4 linked regions of the Stegostoma tigrinum genome follow. The protein of the gene in region 3 interacts with the protein of the main gene of each other region in a pairwise test. Links are inferred from orthologs where the notes say so. Each region holds a gene or a part of one and is shown on either strand. Other genes may lie near its edges.

What was found.
Region 1: the proteins of ntaq1 (region 3) and cdr2a interact in binary tests that used the Homo sapiens proteins (3 or more experiments, as listed by UniProt). The two-hybrid records come from large-scale screens. The link is inferred for Stegostoma tigrinum from reciprocal best matches to the Homo sapiens genes NTAQ1 and CDR2.
Region 2: the proteins of ntaq1 (region 3) and tollip interact in binary tests that used the Homo sapiens proteins (3 or more experiments, as listed by UniProt). The two-hybrid records come from large-scale screens. The link is inferred for Stegostoma tigrinum from reciprocal best matches to the Homo sapiens genes NTAQ1 and TOLLIP.
Region 4: the proteins of ntaq1 (region 3) and capn3a interact in binary tests that used the Homo sapiens proteins (3 or more experiments, as listed by UniProt). The two-hybrid records come from large-scale screens. The link is inferred for Stegostoma tigrinum from reciprocal best matches to the Homo sapiens genes NTAQ1 and CAPN3.

Annotation. Positions count from the first base shown.
Region 1 is NC_081376.1:34,248,456-34,256,179, forward strand, and holds the start of cdr2a (cerebellar degeneration-related protein 2), read right to left. Parts: upstream 3,071-7,724; 5' UTR 2,893-3,070; coding exon 2,811-2,892; intron 1-2,810.
Region 2 is NC_081370.1:25,089,699-25,096,975, forward strand, and holds the start of tollip (toll-interacting protein), read left to right. Parts: upstream 1-4,191; 5' UTR 4,192-4,326; coding exon 4,327-4,362; intron 4,363-7,277. UniProt on the Homo sapiens protein: Component of the signaling pathway of IL-1 and Toll-like receptors. Inhibits cell activation by microbial products. Recruits IRAK1 to the IL-1 receptor complex. Inhibits IRAK1 phosphorylation and kinase activity.
Region 3 is NC_081358.1:39,416,492-39,424,129, reverse strand, and holds the start of ntaq1 (protein N-terminal glutamine amidohydrolase), read right to left. Parts: upstream 3,006-7,638; 5' UTR 2,833-3,005; coding exon 2,738-2,832; intron 2,639-2,737; exon of another isoform or gene 2,287-2,638; intron 2,274-2,286; exon of another isoform or gene 2,158-2,273; intron 1,295-2,157; exon of another isoform or gene 794-1,294; intron 389-793; coding exon 289-388; intron 1-288. UniProt on the Homo sapiens protein: Mediates the side-chain deamidation of N-terminal glutamine residues to glutamate, an important step in N-end rule pathway of protein degradation.
Region 4 is NC_081363.1:83,217,784-83,225,136, reverse strand, and holds the start of capn3a (calpain-3), read left to right. Parts: upstream 1-4,345; 5' UTR 4,346-4,769; coding exon 4,770-5,006; intron 5,007-7,353. UniProt on the Homo sapiens protein: Calcium-regulated non-lysosomal thiol-protease. Proteolytically cleaves CTBP1 at 'His-409'. Mediates, with UTP25, the proteasome-independent degradation of p53/TP53.

The sequences.
Region 1 (7,724 bases), on a different chromosome or scaffold from region 3:
AAAGTATAAAGCATGCGACAGAAGCAGTCAGGATTGGCAAAAATATTGATTTCAACAGCATGGGACAGTGAATCCAATAACTACAGCACTGAAGGCAGACAGGCAATCAGGTCACTAGAGAAAAGGTTGGTAAAAGGGCAAAACAAAAACAAAAATATGATAAGCCTGAAAGAGAAACAGAGCACGCTGGAAGTGCCATGCAGCATCTGTGGAGAAACTGCAAGACGTGAAATTTAACTCTCATTTCTCTAATATTGTCTGATGTGGTGAGTGTTTCAAACATCGTTCAGTAACAGCACACAAACAAAATTAAGTTAAATGCAGGGTAAATTACAACTCCCAGTCTCTTACAACATTACTCCACATACATTTCACTTGAATTTTAGCCAGTGCTTTTGGCTGATCTAAGATACAAAAAGACAGAATCAGAGACTGTTGGTCCTGCCCACTGACTCAACCAGATTACCACTTAAAAATGATTTTCTTGGAGGGTTTGTAAACTGCTGTATCAGGATCACCATAAATTTAGGAAACAAATGTGGCCTGGCTTTGTGCAGCTAGTTTAACCCCACCCCACAAAACAAAAATTCTATATTCCTCTGTTAGCATCACATATTGCCAGTTTTTCAATGGCTTTTTAATTGTTTTGCCTGATTGTTGCTTGGACGTCTACAGTGAAGAGTCCTTGATTTCCTTTAGACCGTGGAGTCTCCTGATTTAATCTCATTTCATTGTCTGATTCAATAGGAGGATGCAACAAAGAAAATGGGAACCCATGTTGATAATACTGCTGAGTGCTTCAAAGAGCATCTTTTTCTTATTATTCAGCAGATTTTAATGCTGTGTCCTAGTTGGAACTGAAGCTGTCCTTCCAATTCCAATCTCTCAAAAGTCTTTTATGACATCTTTAAATGAGTTTCTGTGTGTATTCCAGAGCAAGTAAAAAACACATTTGTTTCCATATTGTCTCTGAGACACTGGGGAAAGCAAGTTAGGCAAATATCAGCCTGGGACCCACTCCAAATGATGGGCTGGCCCTACCCCACAGCTTGTCCATATGAGGACCTCAATTTCTCACCAGCCTGGTGGACTAATTCCCATCAGCCAAGTTCATTTTTAATGATAAACCATGTCACCGGGAGTTCCGAGGAGGGGGTCTAAAGTCACAATCTTTGGATGGATGGATGGACAAAAATCAGTTAAACGGAAGGACACAGCCTGAACAACAGATTATGAGCAGTGGACACATCCAGAGATGCCCCTCGTTGTTAGTACTATATTACTCCCAAGGCGCATGTAGATATTACAGCATGAAACATACTTAAATCGTTGTCCATATCTTCCAAGTATCAAGTGTTTCCGTTCGAAATATCCCAAAGAGGCAGGTTCAGATTTGTGTAGCGGCTTAGCATTGTCAAAACACTCGTGATAAACCCGTCTAGATATTGTAAGGTTTCTACTTTCTGCACAAAGGTGAAGAGGAGGCTTAAGAGGATTTTCCTGATAATGAGGAGGAGATTTGATGGAGTAAATAAAAGGAGAGATGATTTCTAGTGGCAAGAGGGCCGATTAGTAAAGGGCAGTTTTAGGATAATTAACAAAGCAGCTCTGTGTCCCGTCCCCCCCGAAGCAGAAACAAAAGGAGATTCTACTCTAGAAGGGCAATTTGAAATTCCGGAAAGGGAGAAACGTGTAAGGTTATGAAGGGAACATGGGAGTGACACAACTTGTTCTTACAAAGAGCCAGCACAGAAGCGAGGGGCCAAGTAGCCTCTCCGCCAGCCTGAACTCCCACCTCAGAGTCCAGTTGGAGGCAAACTGCCAGTTCTCTTAATCCAAGCGGAAGCCAACTTTTCCTCGTTAAATAACGGGTTGGGATTCAGATAAAGCTCCAGGGGAGGGAGGGAAGGGATGGTTTTCGATTAGAGCAGATCAGCCTCTCACTAGGACAAGGTTTCTATGGCGACAGCTCTCGCCAGGGCAAGCCACTGAGAAAAGGCGCGCTGTGTAAGAGAGAGAGAGACACACCACACAAGGAGACGGAGGCAGAAACAGAGACAGCCACAGACACAGACACAGCAAGGGAAGCGGGAAAGGGGCCGGAGATCTGCGGGATAGCCAGGCCACGCCAAACACTGAGGTCAATGCCGGACTCCCGGCGACAGAGCCACTAACCAATCCCCACCCCGGCCTCTACAGCAGTCTGAAACGAAATTCGCCAGATATGGTGTTTGTCTCGCAAACGTACAAGTAAAATTTATTTTCAAAATAAATTTCGAATGGGAGCTGTGGTGAATGAGAAGGGAACTCGATGGATATCTCAAGAAGAGCCAGTAAAGACACGGTTGGCCGAATGGCCTCCTGATGCTCTGCACACGTCGACTGCGGTAAACTCCACTGCTCAGGAAATAACACCTTTATCAATGTTCACAGGCTGTAATTAACAAACAACTTACTTGGCCTTTGCGAATAAGAAACACAGACATTGTGCTCGTCTCTTTCACAAAAGCCGAGTCAACTGGGTGGGAACAGCGCTATTATTTCCCTCCGTCCCGGTTCAGGCTAGACACAGATTAAAGGAGAAAGATTCTTAAGAACAGTGCCGATGCAAGGTCACAAATTTATAGCATTGAGCGCTTCTTTCTCTCCAGATGATGTCTGGTTCCATTATTTTGTTTTTCATTTCAGATCTCCCTCATCAGCTGTATCTACCAGCAAGGCAAGGATAAAACTGGCAGCGTGCAATCTATTTTCTTGGTGCTTGTCAACCAACTCCAACCTGGAGAAGCGCCTTTAAACTTTAAACTCACCGTGCTCCATATTCTGCTGTTGCTGGTACCACGGTTCCTCCTCCCGGCGTTCAAAATCCTCTATTATGCTGTCAGTTAACATCTTGCTTTTTTTTTGTTAGGAAGAAAAGTACCGGCTTGGAAAAAAGCTCAATAACGTAACTGTACCCCGGCTGCGGCTGCTGATGAGCTTGGACATTCATAACATTTATTCCATGCCTCTATAAAACTAACGCAACGTGGCACTATGTGCCTATAAGCCAGCTCCTAATGCACTACAAACGCGGGGATTCCGCCCGGCCACCAGGGCCCCGCCCCTTTCATTGTAACAATTCAAATGACAACCAATCACTGCGTCCGCACTGCCACCGTGACCGGTAGTGCCCTTTTTTGGAAAGCGTGAATCTGATTCAAGATCTTCAGCCAGACCCAGCCGCGCGTTCATCCTGAAACTGGAAACATTAACCTTGCTTCAGTGGCCACAGATGCTGCCAGACTTGCTGGGTATCTCCAGCATTTTCTGTGTTTTTTTTTCAGATCTCCAGCATTTGCAGTATTTTGATTTTATTAGAATAAAATAAAGAACTGCAGACGCTAAAAATCTGAAACAAAAGCAGACATTCTTCAGAACCTTCAACGAAGGGGCACTGGGACTTTGCTTTCGCTCCACAGTTGCTGCCAGACATGCTGAGTTTCTCCAGCAATTTCTATTTTTGCTTTTATTAGATCCTACACTAACGTTGTTAATTATTTCATTGTGGTGGAGCCGTATAATCATGGATCCAGCTGTTGTGGTGTTGGTTGATGTCTTGGACCCTTCTTCAGACAGGACATTAAATCACAGCCTTACCTACTTTCTCAAATTGGTGCAAAATTCCCAAGGCCATCTTTTGATGAAAAGCAGAAAGGATTCCCACCCTATATCCTCTTTAAAAATTCATTTCAGGACGTCACTGACTAGGTCAGCGTTTGACCTTGAAACCCTTATCTCCAAGAAGATGCCTTCTTGAACCACTGCTGTCCAATTAGTGTAGCTACACCCAAGGGCTGTTCTGAAGGGAGTTCCAAGATTTTGACCCAGCGACAGAGGGAATGATAATATTTTAAAATCAGGGTAATGTTGATTGGAAGGAATTTACAGATGATGCTGTACCCGTGTACCTTTGTTGCCCTTTTCTCTGTAGATGGTAGAGGTCACAGGTCAGAAGGCACTGTCAAATGAGACTGTGTGGTTGGCTGCATGTATCACTGCGGCATACCTCACCGCAGTGAGCTGAAAGTGTTCGAAGTGAATGTTTAAGTGGAGGATGGGGTGCTGATTATGCATTTGCTAGATTGGATTCAAGGGTTTTTTTAACCAGTGCTTGGGAAACAGACATTGCTTAGTGGGTAGCACTCCTTCTTCTAAGACTTTTCAAGTCCCACTCCAGAGTATGAGTTGACTTTGTATATGTCAAGGTCTGGTAAGGCAACAAGGCTGCTACTTAGAGATAGCAAGAACTGCAGACGCTGGAGTCAGACACCACACAGTGTGGAACTGGAAGGACGCAGCAGGCCAGGCAGCAGCAGAGGAACAGGAAAGTTGACATTTTGGGTCAGGACCCTTCTTCAGACAGGACATTAAATCACAGCCTTACCTACTTTCTCAAATTGGTGCAAAATTCCCAATGCCATCTTTTGATGAAAAACAGAAAGGATTCCCACCCTATATCCTCTTCAGTCTCCCCAATCTCACCCCCAATGTAATTGCTCAGCCAATATCATCAAAACCATACTGGTACCTACAGAAACTCGTCACACTGGAATGTGAGGTACTACATTTTTGTATGGCAAATCATGGCTGGACTTGAAACACATAATGGTAAGGTCCTGGAGATTGTTGCTGAATGAGGTAGACAGAGTAGTGAGGAAGGCATTTGGTACACTTTCCTTTATTGGTCAGTGCATTAGGTATAGGAGTTGGACAGTCATGTTCTACAGTGAACGACATTAGTTAGGCCATATTTGGAATAGTGCATTCAATTCTGGTCTCCCTGCAATAGGAAACATGCTGTGAAATTTGAAAGGGTTCAGAAAGATTTACAGGGAAGTTGTCAGGGTAGGAGGGTTTGAGCTGTAGGTAGGGCCTGAATGGTAGGGCCTGAATGGGCTGGGACTATTTTCCCTGGAGTCGGAGGCTAAGGAGTGACAACAAGAAATTTATAAAATCATGAGGAGCATGGATAAGATGAACATTTAAGGTCTTTTCCCCAGGTTAGGGGAGTTCAAAACTAGAGAGCATAGGTTTAAGTGAGAGGGAAAAATTTAAAGGGACCTAAGGGGCAACTCTTTCATGCAGAGGGTGGTGTGTGCAAGGAAGGGTCTGTTTCTGTGCATGGAAATAACTGCCAGAAGAAGTGGTGGAGGCTGGTCCAATTACTATATTTAAAAGGCATCTGAATGGGTAAAGGAAGAGGAAGGGTTTAGAGGGAATTGGGCCAAATGCTGGCAAATGGGACTCCATTAATTTAAGATATCTGGTTAGCTTTAACGAGTTGCACTGAAGGGCCTGTTTCTGTGCTGTACATCTCTATGACCTGATGATACCCACCTGCCTGTGATGTCAGGTTTAACTGGAGCCTTGCATTTTTAAACATGAGCATTTCTCTTTGAACAAGTGGTCAAAGGAACTTACAATAGAAAAAGTTGCCAAAAGAGTACACAGCATTAAGATTTTAAACATTATGGTATTTATATTTTTTTGCATGGGATATCAGGATCATTATTAATGTTTTGAGTTTTGAATCACACAGTTCTGTCTCCTAGTGCCTGAAAAGTAGGAGTATTAACCTTGGCGATGTTATAATTTCCTGCTTGAATGAAATATTTCACTCTGCTTAGTTAGTTTGGCTAGAATAAGTGAATCTGTGTAGAGTTACTCATCGTTTCCACATTCACTAATGTCAAAATCATCATCCATTGACAAGAAATGGAGCAGCATTTATTTGCACAGTGTGCAGGTTGGCATCTTAAACTTTACAAGGGAGCAGTGAGACCCAAGCCATAGAATTATTTTAATCAATTTTCTTTTTAACATAGCAACAAACATACATTGTAACCCAAGCATAAATAAAGTCATGCTTTAAATTCTGCAACATTTTACACAATTTACTGTTGATTGTAACCAGAATGCATTAATATCTGGGTGTTAACAAAACAATATGTCCAGTCCCTTTATTCATCCTCTCAAACTTGCATCTTTTAATATGAAGAATATATCCCTTGGCCCCCAATTTGTGTAATACCAATCCATGCCAGAGCATCCTAGCTCTGAAATCAAGTACCACAAGAAACCATAGCTTGTCTTCTTTCGGATACCAACTGACCTGTTTTATATTTGCAGCATTTTCTAGAAATTTTCATTTGTCCTAATACTGTCAGCCTAGTTTCACTGGACTTTGACCTTGTGTCTTGCTATGAATATGAGATCCTATTCCCCCACAGACGGCTTCACAATGTTATTCAGTCAATCTTTCTCTCCACCCGCACCCAACTCAACCCCTGCTTTCTGTTGAATTATCATTGAACGAGACTACAAGTAGTTTTCATTCATTTTAGCTTTCTTTAATTCACAGTACACTACTGAGTTTTATCAGTAGCGCTGATGTGGATGACTATGGAAGCACTGGTACCCCAGGAGCAAAAGAAAAGTGAATTGAAAAATGAAACAAAATAGTCATAATATCTGCAAGACAGTGAATTGTCTTCTTCAAAGCCACAAAGCAATGAACTAGTTTATCCCATGCTTAGACTTAGTTTTAAGCATGATCAATCTCTACTGATAGCTCAGTGGATTAAAGCTAAAGTGCTCCTGAACCTTTACAGAACTTTACACTTATATAGCACCCTTTACATCACCAGAACATTCCAAAGCTATCCATAGCCAACCAACTGCCTTTAAATGCTACCACTGTTGTTAATTAGGCAAACACAGTAGTCAATTGCACAAACTCTCTCAAAAACAACTATATTACCGACCATGAGTACTTTTAATTATGCTAGTTGTGGAATGGATATTGACTATGACAAACTGTCCTGCTTATTTTCAAGTGGCATCATGGAGTCAGTTACATCCACCAGAAAAGGAAGGCAGGGCTGTGGTTTATCATCTTATCGAAAAGTGCAGCTCTTCTTCAATACTGCCCTGGGAACATCAATATTAATTCTGTGCATAGGCAGGACTTGAACCTGCAACCATCTGATTCAGACAATGATAACCCACTCAGAGATAGTAAGAACTGCCGATGCTGGAGTCAGAGATAACACAGTGAGGAGCTGCAGGAACACAGCAGGCCAGGCAGCATCAGAGGAGCAGGAAAGCAGACATTTCAGATCAGGACCCTTCTTCAGAACTGGAGGAGGGGAAGATGGCTCTGAAATAAATAGGTGGGGGATTGCCTGGGGAAGGTAGGTGGAATGGTGATAGCAGGTAGATAGTGGTGGGGAGTGGTCAGTGAGGTGGGATGAATGGATTGGTGGGAGAGAAGATGGACAGGTCAAGAAGGTGGGGATGAGGGAGAGGGTTGATCTTGGGATGAGGCCGGAGTGGGGAGATTTTGAAGCTAGTAGAGTTCACATTGATTTGTAGGCTTCCAAGGTGGAATATGAGGTGCTGCTCCTCCAGTTTCCGGATGGCATCATTGTGACACTGGAGGAGGCCCAGGATGGACGTGTCGTACAGGGAGTGGGAGGGGGAGTTGAAGTGTTTTGCAATTGTAAGGTGTGGTCATTTGTCGTGACCTTAGCACAGGTGCTCTACAAAGCAGTTTCCAAGCTTCCACTTGGTGTCACCAATGTAGAGGAGGCCACACTAGCTTTACTAGCTTCAAAATCTCCGCACCCCTGGCCTCACCCAAAGTCCAACCCTCCCTCTCATCCCCGCCTCCTTGACCTATC
Region 2 (7,277 bases), on a different chromosome or scaffold from region 3:
CTGAAAAACTCAGCAGGTCTGGCAGCATCCATGGACAGAAAGCAAATTAACATTTCAAGTCTGTTGACTTTTCTTCAGAACTCCAAAGTGCAAGTTGCTTTTGATGATGGTGCCGGATGAATGTTAAGATAATAATAAATATATTAGACAGCCATACCTGATCATTTTTGTTACTATCACTATTAGCTCTGACATTGCAAAACTGCCACAGCTGAGGGGCTGCCTGGATGATGTGTGACATAAGTGCGAGATTTCATGTACAAAAAAACTGAAAATAATGCCACATGATAGAGAAGTGATAGGCTATTCAGACCACTGGATTTGCTCCATCATTTGATCATGGCTGATATGTTTTTCAACCCCCTTCTCCTCCCATCTCCCAGTAACCTGTGATACCCTTACTAATCAAGAACCTATACATCTTTGTCTTAAACAGACACAATGACTTGACCTCCACAGTCTTCCAAGGCAATGAGTTCCACAGATTCACTACCCTGTGGGTGAAGAAATTCCATCTCATCTCAGTTCTAAAGGGTGATATTTTTAATCTGAGGCTGTGTCTTCAGGTCCTATTCTTTCCTCTTAGTGGAAACCACCTCCACATCCACTCTATCCAGCCCTCTCAGTATTCTGTAAATCTCAATAAGATTTTCACCTGCCATCCTTCGACACTCCATCAAGAACAGTGCCAGTGGTCTTAACCGCTCCTCACACCACTCCTCACCCTTCATCCCTGGGATGACTATTGAAAATGTCCTCTGGACCTCCTCCAAAGTCAGCACATCCTACCTTACATATGGAGCCCAAAAATGCTCACAATATTCTGAATGCAGTCTGACCAGAAGAACTTGGAAAGTCCAGTTATACAGCATCCTCAGTATAACTCTGCTCTTATATTCCAGCTCTTGCAATCAAGTGTTTGCCTTCCTAACTGCCAACTGAGCCTGCATGTTCTAGTTCAGAATCTTGAACTAGAACTCCTAAGTCCCTTTATGCTTCAGATTTCCAAAGCCTTTCCCCATTTGGAAAATCATCCACCTCCTATTCTTCCAACCAAAGTTCATGACCATACAGTACTCTTTCTGCCACTTCTTTGCCCATTCTCCTAGCTTTTCCAAGTCCTTCTGAGGCCTCCCCACTTCCTCTAATACACTTATCCCTCCACCTAGCTTTGTGTAATCTGCAAACATAGCAACAATTCTCACAGTTCCTACATCCAGATCATTAATGTATAACATGAATAGTTGTGGTCCCAACATTGACCATGCTGAACTCCATTAGTCACGGGATTCCATCCTGAAAAAGACCCCTTTAATCCCATTCTCTGCCCTTTGCCAGTCAGCCAAGCCTCTATCTATGCCACTTTCTTGCGCCTAACACCATGGGCTCTTCTCTTATTTAGCTGCTTTCTCTGCAGCACTTCATCAAAGGCCTTCTGGAAATCCAAATAGATCAGGTTCACTGGCACTCCTTTGGCAAAGTTGCTCATCACTTCCTCAAAGAATTTTTATAGATCTGTCAGGCATGAAGCCTTGATGAAAGCACTGGTGATTCAGTCCTATTTTATCATGCATTTCCAAGTACTCTCAACCTTAATAATGCTGGAAGGGTCACCAGACCCGGAACATTAACTCTGTTTTCTCCTCCACAGATACTGCCAGACCTGCTGCGCTTTTCCAGCAACCTTGTTTTTGTTCTTAATAATGCACTCTAAAATTTTACCAGTGACCGTTCTAAAGTTTCCTATTTTCTGCCTCCCTCTCTTAAACAGAGCCATTTTCCAGTCCTCTGGGACGCTTCCTGATTCCAATGATTCCCGAAAGATCACCACCAATGCCTTCACAATCTCAAGTATCTCCTTCAGAACTCTGGGGTGTAGTCCATTTGGTACGGATGATTTATCAATCTTCAGACCTTTCAACATCCCCAGCACCTTCTTCTTAGTGGTGGCCATGACACTCACCTCTGCCCCTTGACTATCCTGACGTTCTGGTATGTTACTGGTGTATTCCACAGTGAAGGCTTATGCAAAGTATCTATTCAGATACTCCACTATTTCTTGTTTCCTTTACTACTTCGCCAGTCTCATTTTTCAGTTATCCAATGTCTACACTTCACTCTGTTACCTTTCAAATATCGAATAAAACTCTTGCAATCCTCGTTTATATTACTAGCTAGCTTACCCTTATATTTCATCTTCTCCCTCTTTGTGTTTTTTAAGTCATCCCCTGCTGGTTTTTAAAGGCTTCACAATTCTCTAGTTTCCTACTAGTCTTCCCAACGCAGCACGTTTTTCTTTTGCTTTTATGCTGTCCCTGACTTACCCTGTTCGCCATGGTTGCCTCGTCCTTGCCTTAGTATGTTTCTTTCCTTGGGATGAAAATAGTGCAATCAACCAGTATTAGCAACCAGTTTCCAGAGAATGTTTACATCTGTGTAAATATTCAGTATGCCAATTAGTATTTTCAATTTTGAGTGCTGCCAGGACAATTTAGAACAGGACACGAAGCTATCGCCAAACATCATCATGCTGTCACAGCATGTCCTACTTCAAGATGGTGGAGACAGAGCAGGAACAGTTCGGGCTTGTTTGCTCCAGTTGCTTGTCTTTCTTTTTAATTTTCCTCATTTTTTTAAACTTACCTTCTTATTGAGAGCAGCAGCATCATTGGCGGCAATATGAGTTCAGTGCAGAAGCGTGACAAGTTTTTGGATTCTTGATGGTGGAAGCAAGTTTGGGCCCAATCCAAGACCCAGTAGCATCAGCGACTGCATCACCGAGTTTGGACTATGATGCAGACTTGGGTCAGCAGCCAGGTCAAGTTTGAGCCCGTACACTCAACTGCATTGGTGGTGGTTACATCATCGGCAAGGACTCATGGTGGCAGCAGCATTAGTAGAGGCAACATGGGGGTGAAGAATGGCAACTCTGTTCTAGTGGCGGCAATGCAGTAAAGGCAGACTGCTTCATTCTTGGATCAGTGATAATGGGAACTGCAGATGCTGGAGAATCCAAGATAATAAAATGTGAGACTGGATGAACACAGCAGGCCCAGCAGCATCTCAGGAGCACAAAAGCTGACGTTTCCGGCCTAGACCCTTCTCTAGGCCCGAAACGTCAGCTTTTGTGCTCCTGAGATGCTGCTGGGCCTGCTGTGTTCATCCAGCCTCACATTTTATCATCCTGCTTCATTCTTGTGTTGTTCTTAGCATCGGGGTGGGGCAAGTGCCCAGATCCAGGTCTATGCTAAGCTGAACATTTCTTTATTTTCTGCCTTCACTTTCTATGTTTTGGTTTATTTTCTGTGTTTCAAACTGGTGCTGGATAATGGCGACACTAAACAATTTTCACTGTATTTGTAACAATAATAAATCAAATCAAATTCATTAATAGTATTCCTTATTTTGCGCAGTTGAGCCAACACAGGCCACATGGATATGAAAAGCAATGAAGTGTTACCATATTATTATGTTTGAATGCATTACAACAATAGTGTGATACCACGACCATGGTAAATTTATTCTGAATTGCTTACACACGTCAAATTGTGAAAATATTGACTGGTAAAACCTTTGCCTTGTTAAAATGCATAAATTATTTTTCATGCTGAGTACGTTATGCACTCCCACGCCGTCTGTCCCTGGAACCACAGTTATCCCACCTTTAAACCTACCTCTTTGGGAAAGCTTTGCGTTACTCGTTGCTAACGTCGCCGATCGTGACAACTTTATATATCTTAAATTTCTAAACAGGTTTGAATATTTCCTGTAAAAACACGGTATGACCAGTCGGACAAAAGTTGTACCCTAGCCTCAACCCGGGTGCAAAGGAAGCGAGGAAAAGGCTGGCAGTGACAGACTTCGGATACAGATGCAGAAAATGCTAGAAACACTGAGCCGCGTCCAGAAAAACTGATCAACATCCATTCCGTGGAAGCGGGAAGAGGCTGCCACCTATCAGCGAGCTCAGATCTACCTTCTCCAGAATTAACCGATCACAGGGCCCAGAATACCAGAGCCGGTGAAGGAGCAGCCTATCGTAGCTTTGTGATTGCAGGCTGTACCCCGAAAAAGCCAATCGTAGCGCTTATGGGTGTAGACCCTTCCCAGGAGCAGCCAATCGTGGAGGCCCGCACGCCGGCACTGCGCGAGAATTAACCGATGGCAAGGCACTGAGCTCATTTCCCACCCCTTCCTCCAGCCAATGAGCAGGAGTCGTGAGCGGCCCTTAGCCCAGTTGATGTTCCGCCGCCCAGAGAAGGAGCTGTGAACGGCTGTAGGGGTAGTGGCAGTGGTGGACGAGAGTGTGGCTTGGCTGGATTGGACATGGCGGCTACAACCGTCTCCACCCAGAGGGGCCCGGTAGGTTTCCTCTTCTTATTTTCCAGTTATGGGTGATGTGAGACTACGATCTCTGCGGAGTGTGCGGCCTTGTCAGGGAGTAGGTGTACTGACTGAGCTCTTGGGCTTGGCTGCGCCAGATCCTACCCGCAGCTGGCTGCCGTCCCCGTGTCTTGTCCCGTCCTTCCTGTTTTTGTAATGCTCCTTTTTTAAAAAAAAAGTTCATCTTGGAATATACAGACAGAAAGATCCTGAGGATGTTTACTGTCTTCTGATATGTCTTAAGAACGTTTAAAGGGCCAATCAGGAAAATAACTGGACAGATTGCTTCAGAAACATTTCCATCAGTATAGGATAGTTACGTAGAGATATTAGGAACTGCTGATGCTGGAGAACCTGCGATAACAAGGTGTAGAGCTGGATGAACACAGCAGACTTATGTTTCGGGTCTGGACCCTTCTTCAGGGTCTAGGCCCGAAACGTCAGCTTTCGTGCCCCTCTGATGCTGCTTGGCCTGCTGTGTTCATCCAGCTCTACACCTTGTTATCTAGGACAGTTACGTAGCGTCTCGATGACGGTGATCCCACTGTTTGGAAATAGAATTCGCTTATCCTGACGTTCTTGAGTGTTTATCATGTTGGTAATGTGCCGAATAGATAAAAAGCATCTGTTGTAGGGTTGCCAACGTTGGGTGTATTCCTCGTGGTTTCATCACACAAGTCCTACCTTGTAACATCCCAAGTTCTACCAAAACACACTGTCCCGTGCTGATGATATTGGTTGCCCAATTTATTAGTCCTCGTTGCGCACTGCCTTCCGAGATTAATTGGAAAGTGAGCAATGTTAATCACCGTATTATGTGATTCTTGACTGTTCGAGAATCTCAGGAAGCTCATGGTGTGGAAAGTCATTAGGTTTATTAGTTTCTGAAACAGCTATTTGAGCACTTTATCTTCGTGTCAATCTCCTTTCTTTTGGTACATTGTTTCTGTTTAAATAATTGTCCGACGCTCTCTTGAATACTTCCATTACTGGACAATGCGTTCCAGACTCCACCTACTAACTACTTGAGGGGGAAAAAAGTTCCCTGCATTTTCTTCTTTTGCAAGCCATTTTGAAACCATGCCAGCTGATTCTTGATCCTTCTGGAAGTGGGGACAGTTGCTTCCGATCCACCCTGTCTCGACCCCTCATGGTTATCAAAACTATTAAATCTCCTCTTAGCCTTCTCTCCAAAGAAAACAGTCCCAATGTCTTCATTGCCTCCCCAAAACTGAAGTGTTTCATCCCTGAAACCATTTTTTTTTTGCAAACCTCTTCAGTCTTTCTGGTATATTCACAGCCTTCCTATGGTGTGGCACATGGAGCTTGTATACTCCAAGTGACATCCGAGTACCAAGGAATGACCATCTCTAAGGAGAGAGAATCTAACATTGACGTTCAGTGGCGTAGCCATTACTGAAACACTCAATCAACATCTTGGGGGTTACCATTGATCAGAAACTGACGTGGACTAGTCATATAAGTATAGCAGCTGGGTCAGGAGCTGGGAATCCTGCAGTGTGTAACTCGCCTTGTAACTGCCTAAAGCCTTTCCACCATCTCCAAGGCAAAGTCAGGGAATTCTTCTCACTTCCCTTGATGATTGCAGCGCCAACACTCAGGCTTGATACCATCCAGGACAAAGCAGTCCACTTGAATTGGCATCATTTTCACAATCATTCAGTCCTTCCACCAATGACGCTTAGCAGCAATGTGTAATATTTACAAGATGGTCTGCAGGAATTCACCAAGGCTCCTAAGACTGAACCTTTCAAACCTATACTCGCTAACATCTAGAAGGACAAGGGTAGTGGACATGTAGGAACACCATCTCCAAGCCACTTTCCATCCAGACTTGGAAATATATTGCCATTCCTTCAGTGTCATTGTTTCTAAATCCTGAAACTCTCTCCCTAATGGCATTGTGGGTGTGGCTTCTCCATACAGACAGCAGTGGACACATTTATACTTTGTCTCCATGTTCTTTGTGCCAGAATGTATCACTTCACACCTGTATGTTGAATTTCATCTTCCGACCATCATTCCAATCAAGAACTTTCAATGGTTTACGAAGCCAGAACACAAGCATATAGTTCAAGATACCACAGGATTTAAACTTGTACATCGCCACAAAGCTGCCTTGCCTTGACCTCAGCAGGCTTGTTTTCCACCGCCTTCAAGCTGTATTTCCGTTCATAGACTGCTTTTTTCCAGTGATATTGCCAAAAGACTCACCATCAGCAGCGACCCTCATGGGATGTCGAACAGCTCCCCAGATGGATTATTCTAGACAAGGGGGTGACGTTTCTGTGACGTGTTGTCCTGTGGGTGAATTCATCCATGATCCCATTTCTTGGGCATTGTTCAGGGTTGTTTTGGAGTTGGAAGTTTCAATTCATCCTGCCGAAGAACGCATTCCATTCACACCTCTCGATTGCAAGCACTTTGAGCACATTAGAAATTGGAAATTTGGAAAATTTTGCCACCTTGGTTTTTTTTTTTTGACGCCATGCCCTGTTTTAATGGTGTATCTACCGCTATGTTGTTGCATCGTATCGCTAACTCTAAGAAAGTGTGTAAAGTGATGCTGCGAATGCCTTTAATTTCCTTCTTTGCCTTGACCTCAGCATGTCAACTGCTCAAAGCATTATTGCTAAGATTCGGAATTCCGTGTCGACTTTTAACCTTTTGAGACGTTTTTGTTATCCGTTTGACTGACTTGCAAAAATGTCCTTCAGTCTCCTTTTTGTTTTAAAATGGTAAATGTTTGAATCTGTTTTTTAAAAGTAACGATTTTGTTTTTTTTTGAAAGCTGTACTACAAAAATGCAGTGTCCTATCATTCAGTATATATTGATGCAAAATGTGCTGTTATTTAAACTCACTTGACATAAT
Region 3 (7,638 bases):
TGGAATTGGCGGCCTGACAGCATGGTGGAGGCAAGGTCAATTGAGTCATTCAACAGGAAACTGGATTATTATCTGAAAAGGAAGGTTGTGCAAGTACAGGGTGAAGGTTGGTGGGTAACATGAGATATACTGATTAACTGGACAGCCTCAGCAGACAGAATGGGCTAAAAGATGTCCTTTGATATTGCAACAGTTCTGTGATTCTATGATACAGACAAAGCAGGAATTTGGTGAAATTCTTGTACCTTGAATTAATAAAACGTACATTCAATTGTAGATTGCACTTACCATCTTTTGGTCATTTGACACGAAAACAGTGTACCATTCTTCCAGAGGATATTGTCTTCTGTTCCTTATGTATTCACAAAGCTTCCATATATTTTCTTCACTAAGAACATATTTTAATATAAATGTGAACATTTATTGCAAAAATATTCACTTTTTTGTCTAAATCAAATGCTACAATATTCTGGGCACCGCTTTTGGGCATAGAGGCGTGAATGATGTATGTATGTTGCGCGGTGGAGTTGGAAAAGTCAGGACTATCCTCTTTAGAACAGAGATGGCTAAATATACAGTTAATACTATGGCTACAAAAGCAGGTCAGAGGCTGGAAATTCTGCAGCAAATCATTCACTTTCAAGCTGCTCAAAGCCTGTCCACCATTAACATGGCACGTCGAGAGTGTGGTGAACACTCATCACTTACCTGGCTTGGTGCAGCTCCAACAACACTAAAGAAGCTTACACAATCCACAGCAAAGCAGCCGCTTGATTAATATCACATCCATTACCTTTAAAGTTCATTCTCTTCACCACTGATGCACAGCAGCAGTGTGTACCACCAATAAATGCACTACAACTAGTCACCAGGCTCCTTTGGCAGCACCTTCCAAATCCACAAACTCTCCCACTTGAAATGACGAGGGCAACAGTTGCTTGGGAATACTACTACCTGCAAGTTCCAATCCAAGCCACTTAGCTTCTGACAGGAAACAATAACACTGTTTCTTCAAAGTTGCTGAGTCAAAATACCGGAACTGTACCCACAAACCAAGCAATGCAGCAGGTCAAGGAAGTGGCTCACTACCGCTTACTCAAAATGAAATTAAGGATGGACAACAAATGCTGGCCATCCCCATGATCGAATTCAAAAAATGACTTTTAAGATGATGAGGTTTTGGGATGGTCAATAAAAATATTATTGTTTCTGAGAAGTGAGTCAATAGCCGGAGGTTGTAGATTTAAACTTATTAGTTAATGAGGCAGAGGGGCATGAGGAAGATATTTCTACTCGCACAGCTGTCAGATTCTGTAATGCTGAACCACAGAAAGGATTCCAAAACTAATTTTTAAAATGAGATTTTGACATGTACCTAGTGATGAGGAATTTACAGGGTTACAGACAAAAAAAAACTCGGCTGTAGGACCAAGCAGAATACTTTTTAGAAGAACAAGCACAAACAACGACAAGCTGAATGGGCTCCTTCAGTTCTGCAATATTCTACAATTACAAGTACAAACTAAGTTTTGTATTCTTTTTATTTTTTGAAATCTGCTCTCATGGCTGGACTTGGACTGTAGAGGTTCTAGTGCTCTTTTGATACCTCATTTTTCTGGCCTTTGTAGGAAGGTAGAAAGATGCCAGAAGTGTACTAAACCCAAGGGTCACAGAGTTGAGCCTGGACCTGTCTTTCCACATGGAAGAAAATGAAATATGCTGCTTGGGAGCGGAGACTCAAAAGAAAAATAATACAACTTGTCTGCAAAATGGAATTTACAGTCTATTAGAGTATTGCTGAAAGCAGTTAAATATTTTCAATCATACTTTAACTGCTAACAATATAACTTATATAGCTTGATCAATGCTGATTACACTTTAGCAGCATTAAAAGCCAGGTTGACAATAAATAACTGTTTAGTCCTAAAAGTAAATTATGAACAATCCTTCAAAAGAAAAAGTACATTTGTGCAATTATATTGCATATTCCTAATTTCAGCTCAAAACAAGTGCTATTTGAATAGAAGGATCTACACTGACATAGCAGAACAAAACCATGTGAAAATCCTCCATTGATTCGTCGGAGAGCAACCCTGTAGGGGAAGGCAGGTGCAGACAAGTACAAATAAACTGTTGTTGTAAGTTTTAAGTACTAACCTTCACAAAATAAAATCGCTTAAGATGTGATTATTAAATAAAATTTGAAACTGAGCACCCAGTGAAAAAAATAGAACAGGTGACCAAAGTCCTGATCAAAGAGGTAGGTTTTAAAGGAGAGAAGCATACGTTTTGGGAAGCGATTCCAGAATATAGGGCCCAAACAGCTGGCCTTCCCCCTAAAAGGAGAAATAAATCCAAAGCTGTCAAGATCAGGTGATTGGGAGAAGGTAACGTTTAGGGACTATTCCAGCAAAGGAGGCCATTCAGTTCGATATATCTCGGCCGGCAATTTTGAATAAAACTGCCCAATCAATCCCACTCTCTTCCTCTGTTGTAGCGTTGCAAATTATCCTTAGAAATGTTTGTCCAATCCCTTACTGAAAGTCCCTACAGTATTTGAATCAGCTTCCGCTGCGCTTTCAGCCAGTGCACGTCAGATCACAGTAGTGATTTTCCTTTTAAAAAATACACTGATAACACAACTTCCGTTTAATTTATGGAAAACGTCGCACAATTTGTGGGACTTACACCCCCATTAAATAACTGAGACCATTTTTTCCCAGTAAGGCCTGCTTACCAATAACAGCTGGTGTACACACAATCCTCCTTTCGAATGGCTGAGATCTGGCTCTTACCTCCTGGGTCTAACCTCTCAGGGTTTGGGATACTCATAACAACTTCGCAACAACGACAAATTAGAAACTAAATTGCAGGATACCTAAATTTTCATTCATAATACTAAACAGCGAATTCATTCAAACAAAACTGGCTCAAGGTAAGAACCAATGGGATTACAACCTTAGGAACCATTCATCGGGGATTAGGACCAAAACAGGAAGCCGGAAGGAATAGCAGGTGCACACGGAAGAAGACTGCCTCGCTTTCTTTGACGTTTGGGATACTGCCGCCTGCGTGCGCAACCTCCGCTGCCTCAACGAAGTGTTTTAATACGTTGACGCGTAAAGCTGTCATGTTAAAACCTGTCTTTCGTAACAGTGTGAAATAATTATGCACTTTCTTCAATTAGCAATATGAATTGTATTAGGTTGATATGGGGAGTAGGCGTTGAATTCATTCACGTTTTCCTTCAATTGTTGCTTTTAACTCTATGGATATCCTGGTCATGTCTCTACCTCTGGCCTGGAAAATTTGGTTGTAGTCACACCTGAAGCTATGTGTTCGTGGACGTGTGCCAGCAGGTTCATAATCTCCCCTTCCCCTACTGCATCCCTAAACCAGCCCAGTTCATCCCCTCCCCCCACTGCACCACACAACCAGCCCAGCTCTTCCCCTCCACCCACTGCATCCCAAAACCAGTCCAACCTGTCTCTGCCTCCCTAACCGGTTCTTCCTCTCACTCATCCCTTCCTCCCACCCCAAGCCGCACCCCCAGCTACCTACTAACCTCATCCCACCTCCTTGACCTGTCCGTCTTCCCTGGACTGACCTATCCCCTCCCTACCTCCCCACCTACACCCTCTCCACCTATCTTCTTTACTCTCCATCTTCGGTCCGCCTCCCCCTCTCTCCCTATTTATTCCAGTTCCCTCCCCCCATCCCCCTCTCTGATGAAGGGTCTAGGCCCGAAACGTCAGCTTTTGTGCTCCTGAGATGCTGCTTGGCCTGCTGTGTTCATCCAGCCTCACATTTTATTATCTTGGAATCTCCAGCATCTGCAGTTCCCATTATCTCTCATAATTTACAACTCGGTTTGTGGTGCAGCAGTTTTGTGCCTGACGCAGTGTCAAAAAGTTGTGTGTTCAAATCACGACATTGAGAAATTTTGAGACTATAGGGTTAGCTGATCTTGTGTTACAGCGATGGTGTCCCTTCCTTTGAACCCAGTGGTGTGCTTGTAGATGTCTGCAGATTTCTAGTTGAAGATTAGTTTTCTCATGAAGACTGTCAAAGAAACAATTGGACCCCAGGCAGACATGTCTAAGATACTGAAACCAAAGAGAAAGTAAATTGAAACAAAAAGGAGTAGCACTGAACAAACATAGGTATTTAAGAAAATTGGAAGTTTGATGTCAACTAATGTGAAGTGATAGGTTTTGAACATGAAGAGGAGAGAAAGATGGAGAGGTTTATATAATGTAGGAATTGCAGCAGTCAATTTGGATATAGCAAAATCTTTAAACAATGTTATAATAACTGCAAAATCTGTTTTAGTGATGTTAGTGGAGAGATAAGTATCCGTCATTAATTCCACACACCCCTACAAAATAGTGCAAGGGTGAGCATTTACATTTAACTGGAGCATAGATGAGACCATTGTATGATGAAGATAGTCAACCAGTGCAGTAGTGTGGAGGTAGAACATAGAAAAGTACAGCACAGTACAGGCCCTTTGGCCCATGATATTGTGCCGTGGAATAATCCTAAGCAAAAATAGAATAACCGAACCTCCATTCCCCTCAATTTACTGCTGTCCACGTGCATGTCCAGCAGTCACTTAAATGTCACTAATGACTCCGCTTCCACGACTACCACTGGTAAACTATTCCATGCGCTCACAACTCTCTGGGTGAAGAACCTCCCTCTGACGTCTCCTCTATACCTTCCTCCTAACACCTTAAAACTATGACCCCTCGTGGCAGTCAATCCTGCCCTGGGGAAAGGTACTGAGATTACATGTTCATTCTCCTGCAGTGGGACTCTGTGTTAGACAGGATGACTACAGCAAACCTTTTATTAATGGACACTTATGGGATCAGGAGCGTGTGAGTTGACTAAATATTCCAGTTGATCAAGAGGTCCACATAATCAATATAAAAACTCTCACTAATTAATAGAAATGTAATGCGGCGGTATACACATCGCTGTTCTACTTATTTGCAGCATAAATCACTTAAATAATAATGCAACTTTGCCTGAAATAAACCTTACTGGCAGAGAGCCCTCTCACACCCTGAACTGACTGACTACTCAGAGATTGTGATAATTCAGTAAACTTCCTATATTTGAGGTATATAATTCTTAGTGGTTTATCAAAAATGCTGGCCATAAGGTATCGGTTAAAACAAAGTTTGCAGTAATATTTTGACTATTAGTAAAAAAAGGGCATCAACTGGACTTATTGAAAAGGGACAGTCAAAAGATTGTGGGTGTAAGAATTAAAAGGTACAATATACCTTAAAAATTGGACAGCTTCAGGTACCCAGTACCACTGAATTATACAGTACAGGAAGCTATTCAGCTCATTCTACTACTGCAGTCCCTTTGAAGCACCTATACAAATTATTCTCATTAAGTTGTTCCCCTTAGCTCTGCAAATTTTTCTTCAAAGTATTTATTCAATTCCTTGTGAATCTAGCTATTGAATTCCACCATTACACACCTATTCCACCTTTTTAGGAAAATCAAGAGCTCCCTAAAAGAACACTTGGGATATGTGTGAAATTGCCTCTACTGTATAACTTAATAAAATTATGAAGATTGGGGAGAACCTTTCTCATTGGAGGGTAGGAGGTTGAGAAGTGACCTTATAGAAGTTTATAAAATAATGAGTGGTATAGATAGAGTTAATGGTGGTTGTCTTTCCCTCAGATGGAGGATTTCGCGTCTCGGGGGCACATTTTTAGGAGACAGAGAAATTTTAAAAAGTCACACAGAGTAGTTTGGGTGTGGAATGAACTTCCAGAGGAAGTAGTGGATATGGGTACAATTGCGACGTTTAAAAGGTTTTTGAATAAGTACATGACTAGGAAAGGTTTGGAGGGATATGGGCCAGGAACAGGCAGGTGGGACTAGTTTAGTTTGGGATTATGTTTAGCATGAATTGGTTGGACCAAAGGTCTGTTTCTGGCTGTGCGACTCTATGACTATGAGTCTATTTATGGAAATATGATCACTGGCAAGTCCAGTGTTTGTTACCCCTCCCAAATGTCCTTGAGAAGGTGACAGTAAGCTGTCTTCTTGATCACTGAGTGGCATGGAATGCCATATCGGAATCCAGTTAAAAATCAACCACATCATTATGGATCTGGAGTCACATGAAGCTCAGACAGTGTAAGGATAGCAGATTTCCTTTCTTGAAAGACAAGGTAAAATAGATTTTTTAGAAAAGCTATCAAATAGTTCCAAGGTCACCATTACTCAGACTTTTTATTTTCACAGTTCCATTTAATATTTATTTGTCCCTACCACTGGACAGAGAGGCTTGTGTTCAAGACCCACCTATTCCAGAGATGCATAATAACATCTCTGAACAAGTTGATTAGAAAACTGTGTGACAATACCATGGCCTTGGGTGTATTTTCTCCTTCTTGTGAAGAGAGGTGTTGAGCCATAGGCACCAAGCTGTCTCCTCCAAGCCAATAAAGTGTACAGGTTGTGAGGACGTGGGGATTTTTAAAAAGTTGAAAAATAGAGTCAGCATGAACAGGGGAGTCAGGCTCCCATAGAACTTCAATACACAAACATTACATTGACTCTAAACGTGCAAATATTCAACACTACAGTCCATTTCAATCAGTTTCTTCTGCCAACAAACACCTTCATTTTCTTTCGTTAAACTTGTGACAACGCATCAGCAATTACATTCTCTCGTCATACCATGCATATAATCTTTAAATTAAGTGGCTTTAACAACAAATTCCATGTTGGCAATATTGTATTTCTCTGTTTTTATTTTTCCAAAAAACATTAAGGGTTTATGATCAGTATATACAATTGTCTCAGGCGCATTACTGGGAACATAAATGTTGAAATGTTGCACCATCAAACTCAAGGTCTCCTTCTCAATTGTGGAACATTTCTGAGAAGGACATGGAGCCTTTTTCATTTCATGTGAGAAAGTAGCTAAACAAATGAGATGGTTGGTGATCATGCTGATATTGTTGATTCAAACCACATTTGTCGGTGAAATAACTCCACGAGGACCAGTATCCCATCACCAAGTCACCTTTTACTTACATGTGCGTAGCATATGACACTGGCCCAGCTAGCACAGAGCTGGTTCCTGTAGTATAAAACTAAAGGTTTTTAAAAATGAAGCCACCTATGTTTATTGATAGTTCATTTTTCTTTTAAGGGGTAGGGGAAGGTGTAATGATATTATGGCTTTAAGAGGAGCATTTTGCCCTGTGTCTTTTTGAAGAGAGGTTTTGAGTATCGATGAAAAACTGCCTCCTCCAGGCTAATAAAATAAATAGTCATGAGGCCTTGGGATTTTTTAAACGTTAGTATAATGGAAGCAACATGAATGGGTGGAATCAGGTTCCTACGGAACCAGAGTTTTATTTTCACTCAGCAGTTGTTGGGGTTTGCAGTTGACTGTGGAAACTGTTACATCTGTTATGGACCAAATATTAAGATAGCTGAGACCCTAACTTGTTACTTTAAAAGTAAGAGGCATTGTGTTCTAGATGTAATTTGATTGGTCAAAATTACTCAACTTTAAGCAAAATAAACTTTATTTTTGAACCAGAGTTAAAAGACAAACAAAACAAAAATTAAAAAAGGCTTAATTGTAAC
Region 4 (7,353 bases), on a different chromosome or scaffold from region 3:
CTTACAGTGGCAGTCTCTAATGGTGCTATCTTCGGTACAGGTACCTAGGCACAAATCCTGGATACAAAAGAGGAATAAAAGGAAGAACAGTAGAATTACTTCGTGTCTACAAAATAAGTTAGAAATAAGATACTTATAACATAGTTAAGGGATTGACATTACAGTCTGGTGATGAAATTTTAAATAGCAGCGGCTCAGCATATGGTCTGACCAACCACAGTAGGCTGCAGTCCAACAGCAGTCCTGCTCTGCTGCAAGACTCCAGTGTGTTCCACACTCAGCTGCACCAAGGTAAGTTGCGTTGCTGTAGGACTTGCTTTCTCTCACCCCGCTGCAGGACTCACTTGCCCTCGCATTGCTCCAGAATTTGTTCCCCTCGTACTGCTCTAGGATTTCTTCCCATCGTGCTGCTTTTGGACTTGCTTTCCCCAGTACTGCAACAGGACTCATTTCCCCTTGCATCGCTCAGGTCTGTTTCCCCTCATGCTGCTCCAGGACTCAATCACCCTCACATCACTGTGGGACTCGCTCCTCTTGCGCTGCTCAGGGACTGTTTCCCTGCATGCTGCTCTGAAATCCATTTCCCCTCCTGCTACTGGGGACTCACTCCCCTCAGTGCTGCTCAGGGACCTGTTTCCCCTGATGTTGCTCAGGGACTGCTTCCCCACATGCTGCCCAGGACTGCTAAAAAGAGAGACGAGAAAATTTTCAAAAAGAATAGGCAGTGCAGGTGAGCCCTGGGTGGAAGCATCCTACTCTGCTCCCATCTTGTCAGAAAGGCTACATCTTTATATTTTTCTGTGTTTTTGAGCGTGGAATGAGACAGGAAAAAGTCTGTTTGGAAATACAAGAATTATTGAAGGATTACTGCACTTTTAAAAAGCATATTACCTGTCATTCTTTGTAAGTGCTGTTTACACAGCTGTCAGTTGAAACAGTGGGGCAAATCTAGTTGCCGACAAGCTGGAACCACTGGGCTGTGTATGGATGGAGATTTTTTTTTCTGGCAACAAATACCTCATTGGTCTGTGGAATGTTGACTAGTTATTGATGACAGGCACCTCCTGCCTCCCAGTAACTATGCGATTGACTGCCAGGTAGCTGAACAGTTTGTGGGTGTGAACGTTCAGACCAGAAATCATCAAACCTCTGAAAGAGGAGCTCCTTTCGCTCTGGAGTAGAAAGCATCTCAAGACTGAAGATGATCAGTTTATTTCCCCTTGTCAATTGCTCTAAGTTGTTACTTTTAAGAAATTGTAAGTTTTCCTCCAACAAACAAGAGAACATGCCTGGTGAAGTGGGCAGGAACTATTAAACAGCTTTTTCAGTTTTCCATATGCCCATAACATCCTTTTTTGTGTCTGTCTGTGTATGTGTGTAGTGGAAATGTTTATAAGAGGGTTAGAGTTTTAAATAATAGAGTTATATGCTGATGATTCCAAATTGTTTATCTGTTGTCAATATCTATTTGTAATAAATAGTAATGATTGTTAAGATTGTTAACCTGGACTGTCCTGTCCAACCCGGGTCTAAATGACAGGTAAATTGGGGAATTCTATTTGCTTGTTCAAATCTGTAACTTTTGTGACTACTGTGAGAATAGCAGGGCTTGACTTTTATCCTGCTGCTCCAGTGAGGTGTAGCTCATGCAGAATTTTCTGGAGAACTCAGCAGTTCTGGCAGCATCTGCAGAGATAAAGCAGTATTGGCATTTCGAGTCTAGTGATCCTTCTTCAGAATAGGTCACAGGACTTAACGTATAAACTGGTGTGCTTTCTCTCCGAAGATGCTTTGAGACCTGTTGAGTTTCTCCAACAAATGCTGCTTTTATTTTAGAATTCTGGCATCTGCAATTCTTTGTTTTATTGAGATATATCACAAAACTGACTAAAAAAACTTAGTCGTTAAATATGTTCAAGAGGGAGAGTGATGGATTTCTGTGTTCTGAGGGAACTACATGACATGTGAGCAGTATAGGAACATGGGGTTTAGATGGAAGATCAACCATGGACTTGAGTGGCAGAGCAGACATGAATGGTGAAATCACCTGTACCAGCTCGTTTTTCTACGTTCTCAAGTTTGTTCACACCCTGGGATCTAGGTATCATTCATGTTCTCCAGAGATAAGTGTGATGAGTCACTTAACAAGAGTGAGTAGTAAAAGAGAGATAGCAAGAACTGCAGATACTGGAGTTAGAGTTAACAAAGTGTGGAGCTGGAGGAACACAGCAGGCCAGGCAGCATCAGAGGAGCAGGAAAGTTGAAGAAAGATCCTGATGTGAGTTTTTCTGTTCCTCTGATGCTGCCAAGCTTGTTGTGTTCCTCCAGCTCCACACATTGTTGTCTTTGAGTGCTAAACGACACATGACTCGATATTGGTTGGATTTAATGTTGCACATCAGGGTGAGAAACATAGTAGCAAAGCCCACTTAATGTTTGGAGAGGCTCCATGTCAATCTCTAAACAATGGTAGATCTGCCCCATTTAAGTGAGGGAACAGAAAGGGTAGCATTCGTGGCCATCAGTGGCAAAATGTCAGTTATCCTAATTAATAAGCCAATTGACATCTGTTGCTCCTGAGCCTGCTGCAGTTTAATAGTGGCTAAGGGATTGAATGGAGGTCGTATTTTTCTCCCAGATCACGTGAAGTCCACCCAGCCAACCCAAAGAAATTTCAGGCCTCCTAGAAAAGGGGGCACCATAGAAATAAACTAGGGGCACAAATAGGCCATTGGGCCACTTGCCACTCAATTTGATCGTGGCTGATCATCCAACTCGGTAGTTTCTGCTTGCTCCCCATACTTCTTGATCCCTTTAGTCCTCAGAACTATGTCTATCTCCTTCTTGAACACCTACTTTGTTTCCCATGGGGGATACTGGCCGCTGAAAGCCAAACCCTGTGCTACTGTGTAACATTCATCCATCCTGGCAAATCCTGTTCTACCTTCTCTGATATTTGGTCTGGGTGTGTGTAGTTCCAGTTGCAGCCACCACGCCTGCTGGTGCTCGAGGCATCAGGAGCTCTGCAGGTCTCTGTAGGTGGGATTTCTGCCATCAGGGTCCTCAAATACAGTCAAGACCTATCTGTAGCCATCTAAGTGCCTGAAGGTTATTTGATTTTACTGGGCTTCCCTTACTGAACTGGCAGGGTTCCCCACCAATCCTGCTACCAGTGGGCAAGATCCCCTTTCTGAGTGATTGAATATGAAAGTGATTGATTGAGGGAAAATGACAATGTGAGAATGAGCTGGAGCGAGTGACGATAAGAGAGTCAATTAATCTGACTGTAGAAGTGGTGAGATATTGAGAAAAGGCAGGAGTCAGTAAGTGATTCAGTGAAAGTGAGTGAGATTTTGAGTAATAATTGAAGAAATGAGTGAATGAAATCACATTTGTGTGAGATTGAGAGTAAATTTATATGGGAATAAGACTGTGATGACAAAAGGTTGAGTTTACTGAATGACAATGAGACACTGAGTGAAAGTCTGAGTCAGTGAACAAAATGAATCAGCGATAAAGTGTGAATGTGTGCTTGACATGCCTCAGTGAATGATACTGAGAATCCACTGAACTAATAGAATATGGCAGCTGTTTTGATGTTCAGCATTCACCCTTTTACCCGGCTGAATTGTATTTCTACCCACTGCACACATCCTCCAAGCCCAACCTACTCATTCTAACCCAACCATTTAAAACCCCTACTCACTTGACTAACCTATTCAACCTGTCCTTACTCACCCCTCTCACCCTCTTGAAATCTGTCTCAATCCCGTTAACCACCAATAAACTACTCTTCCACCTTTTCACCCCATACCAAATGGTCTCACCTTCAGATACTCCTTTCATCCTCCTCTCATCCCTTTCATCTGTCACTCACCCTCCCAGCCTTTCACCCCTCACTTATCCGACCTCACTTACCCACTGCACTCATCCATCATTCCATTTCTCCTAATTAAACTGCCCACCCTACTACCTCCCCATTCATGCTCACACCCTGTTATCCACCACACTTATCCTCTCATCCATTCCACTATTTAGCCTAATTATTTAGTAAAATGGAATGATTTCTAACTGATCCTTGCTTAAAAGAAATGTTGTATAGTTGTTAGTTACTGTTATATTGTGACCACAGCATCTTCAAGAGAAGGAAGAAAAGTTGAGAAAAACAGGATAAAAATGATAAATGAACACTGATGTGTCTGAGTATATGTGTCCCTGTGTAAGGAGCCTGCAAAAACAAATACAGTTGCCACAAGATACAGCCTGTCTAAGATTATTTTTAGCATTTGATCTTGCTCGTTTCATTTCTGCATTGAGCTCAGAACAGCTGGGAAGCCTGGGAGAGTGAGCCAAGGCCAATTCTGGAAAATCCAACAGACGTATCGTTCAACAAGTGGATGATTATTTGATTTTTAAAAAAAATTTCAATGTGGAAGACTGTGGAGAAGGCTTACTGAGGTTATACAAAACAGCATTGAATCTTGTGAGCAATCCGGAACCAAAACGTTTTTGAAGTCCCTGGTGCCACTCGTGTTGTTTGGTGGAGTAGTCTGTCCAAATGATTTCTGCCTTTTACCTCAAGGAAGCTGATTGAAATGTTTTGCTAGTGTTTATAACTGAAAAAGTAACTAACCTGTTTCCCTGTTTTATGAAACCAGGTAGTTTCCTTCCTGTGTCTGTGGCCTGCATATCTTTCTCTTATTAACAGATCTCTTTTTCACTGCACTGTTTTGAAATATTGTGTTCCTGTGCCTCATGTCATCAACTCGATGCAGGAATCACGACCAGTCCAGACCCAATCCAAAATGGCTGGCAAAGCTGCATTGTATCCTATCATCAATCGTAACAAGGATATTACCTATGCCAAGAGCGGGGTCTTTCAGCAGCTGAAGGACGAGTGCCTGAGAAAAGGTGTCTTGTTTGAAGACGAGGAATTCCCTGCCAATGACTCCTCACTTTTTTACTCTGTGGGTATGCCCTTCAAGCTGGAATGGAAAAGACCCCCAGTGAGTGACATACTGTTTATTCAATAGTAGCTTAGTCTGTGGGATACATTTATACTGGCCTGCTGTAGCGTGATGGAGATTTGGGATTTGTGTTTCTTGTATATATTTAAGGGTGAGATTGATAGATTTTTGATCAGGTGAGGAATCAAGAGTTGCAGGGAATGTGTGGGAAAATGGATGTGTGGAATATTGGATCAGTGGAACAGCCTCCTGTTTCTATTTCTTATATCAGTTTGCAATATTTCCCTAGTCTGATAATTACTTCCGTTAACTTGTTGCATTTCTTTTAATGTATGTGGATGACTTGCAGCATGGTTGCTGTGAAATTTTGGCTGGCTTGCAATAAACGTACAATTTAGGAGTAGGAATTGACCACTCGAGCTTGCTGTACCATTCAATAAGGTAATGTCTGATCTAATTGTGGCCTCAACTCAACATTTCCAAAACCCCTAATTATTACTGACTCCCTTGTTAATCAAGGATCTCTCCAACTTGGCCTTAAAAATATTCAATGGACCTCACTTTGACTGTTTTCTGGGAAAGAGAGCTCTGAAGATGTACATCCCTTTCAGGAAGAAAAGAATCTTCATCTCCATCTTAAATCAGAAATCTATTATTTTTAAACTGTTCCTCTAGTTATAGTCTCTCCCACTAGGGAAAATTTCCTTTCAGCATTTAGTCTGTCAAGCTCCCTCAGGATCTTATATGTCTCAGTATGATCATCATGCAATCTTGTAAGCTCTGCAGTTGGCTACGTTGTGGTTCCAGATTTTATTACCCATCTGTTTTTATTGTCAGATTGTTTGGCCTTGATATAGAGTCCCTGCTAATGGCTGATTCATGTTGGTATTCAATAGGAGTGATTCTCTCTGACAATTGGCCACATTGACTGTCCAGTTGGTTGGTGGGAGGGAGCACTACCATCAAGGGGCCACAGTCAGGATGAGAGCATCAACTCCAGGTAGTGACTGGGAGCAGGGAAAGCTGGGGAGTTCCTCGAATAGGTAGGTAGGAGTACTCCCTCACTTCTTGGCATCCAATAATACTGACGGGCTGCTTACTTTGGGGAACTTGCAGCTTCTGCTTAGGCTCAGTGGCTGAAAAATCCCACTACGCAGGCCTTCACCAGTATGTGTATATGTACTGCACATTAAATAGGTCCCTGTTTGCCTTCTGTGCAAGCCCAGTCTGTGCCCCAGTCCCTGTGCTTTAAACTTGAAAGGGACAAAAATAAAGTTAGATTCTGAAATTTTAATCCATCCTTAGGGCGGCATGATGGGTCAGTGGTTAACATTGCTGCCTCACGTGCCAGGGGTCCAGGGTTCAATTCCACCCTCAGTTGACTGTCTGTGTGGAGTTTGCACATTCTCCCCATGTCTGCTTGGGTTTCTTCCGGGTGCTCTGGTTTCCCCCGCAGTCCAAAGATGTACAGGTTAGGTGGATTGGCCGTGCTAAATTGCCCTGGAGTGTCCAGGGATGTAAAGGCTAGTCGGGTTAGCCATGGGAAATGCAGGCTTCCAGGGTATGGGTGTGGGTCTTGATGGGTTGCTCTCTGGATGGACTTGATGGGCTGAATGGCCTGCTTTCACACTACATGGATTCTGTGAAATATTCTCCCAGGATTTAGGAGGTAGTTAAAATTTGTGATTTTGATACATTGTAGACAAGACCAGAATCAATTTCTTATCACCTGATGCATTCTCATCAAAATGAGAATAAACGTTCCCCTGTAGTTTGTTGTCATTATACCTTTAAAAACAACATAGTTACCTCTTTGATAACAAATTGTGGAGCTGGATGAACGCAGCAGGCCAAGCAGCATCAGAGGAGCAGGAAGGCTGACGTTTCGGACCTAGGCACTTCTTCAGAAATAAAACAGCAATTGCCCCTCCACTGCATTCCACTCATTGCTCCAGCTACAGCATTCAGAATGTAAACGATCCATAAAAGGAGAAAACAGAATTTATTAGTAAATTCACTAACCATTACATTGTATTCACAACTACAAAAATGGGACATTGAATTGGAGATTATTTTGCAATTCTTTCAGTCGTATTTTTTCTGAAGAAGGGTCTAAACCCAAAACATCAGCCTTCCTTGCACCTCTGATGCTGCTTGGCCTGCTGTGTTCATCCAGCTCCACACCCTTTTATCTCAGATTCTCTAGCATCTGCAGTACCTACTATCCCTGAAACATAGTTACTTCTTTGTTGTGTGATTGATCATCATCACTGCTCAACATGTTGTGTTAGCTCTATGGACTATTGGTCACTGTTTTGTAGATTTGCTGCCATCATGCTCCTTTTAGTTTACGATCTGCAAGGCCGTCTTGGTCTAGAGTGGTAGA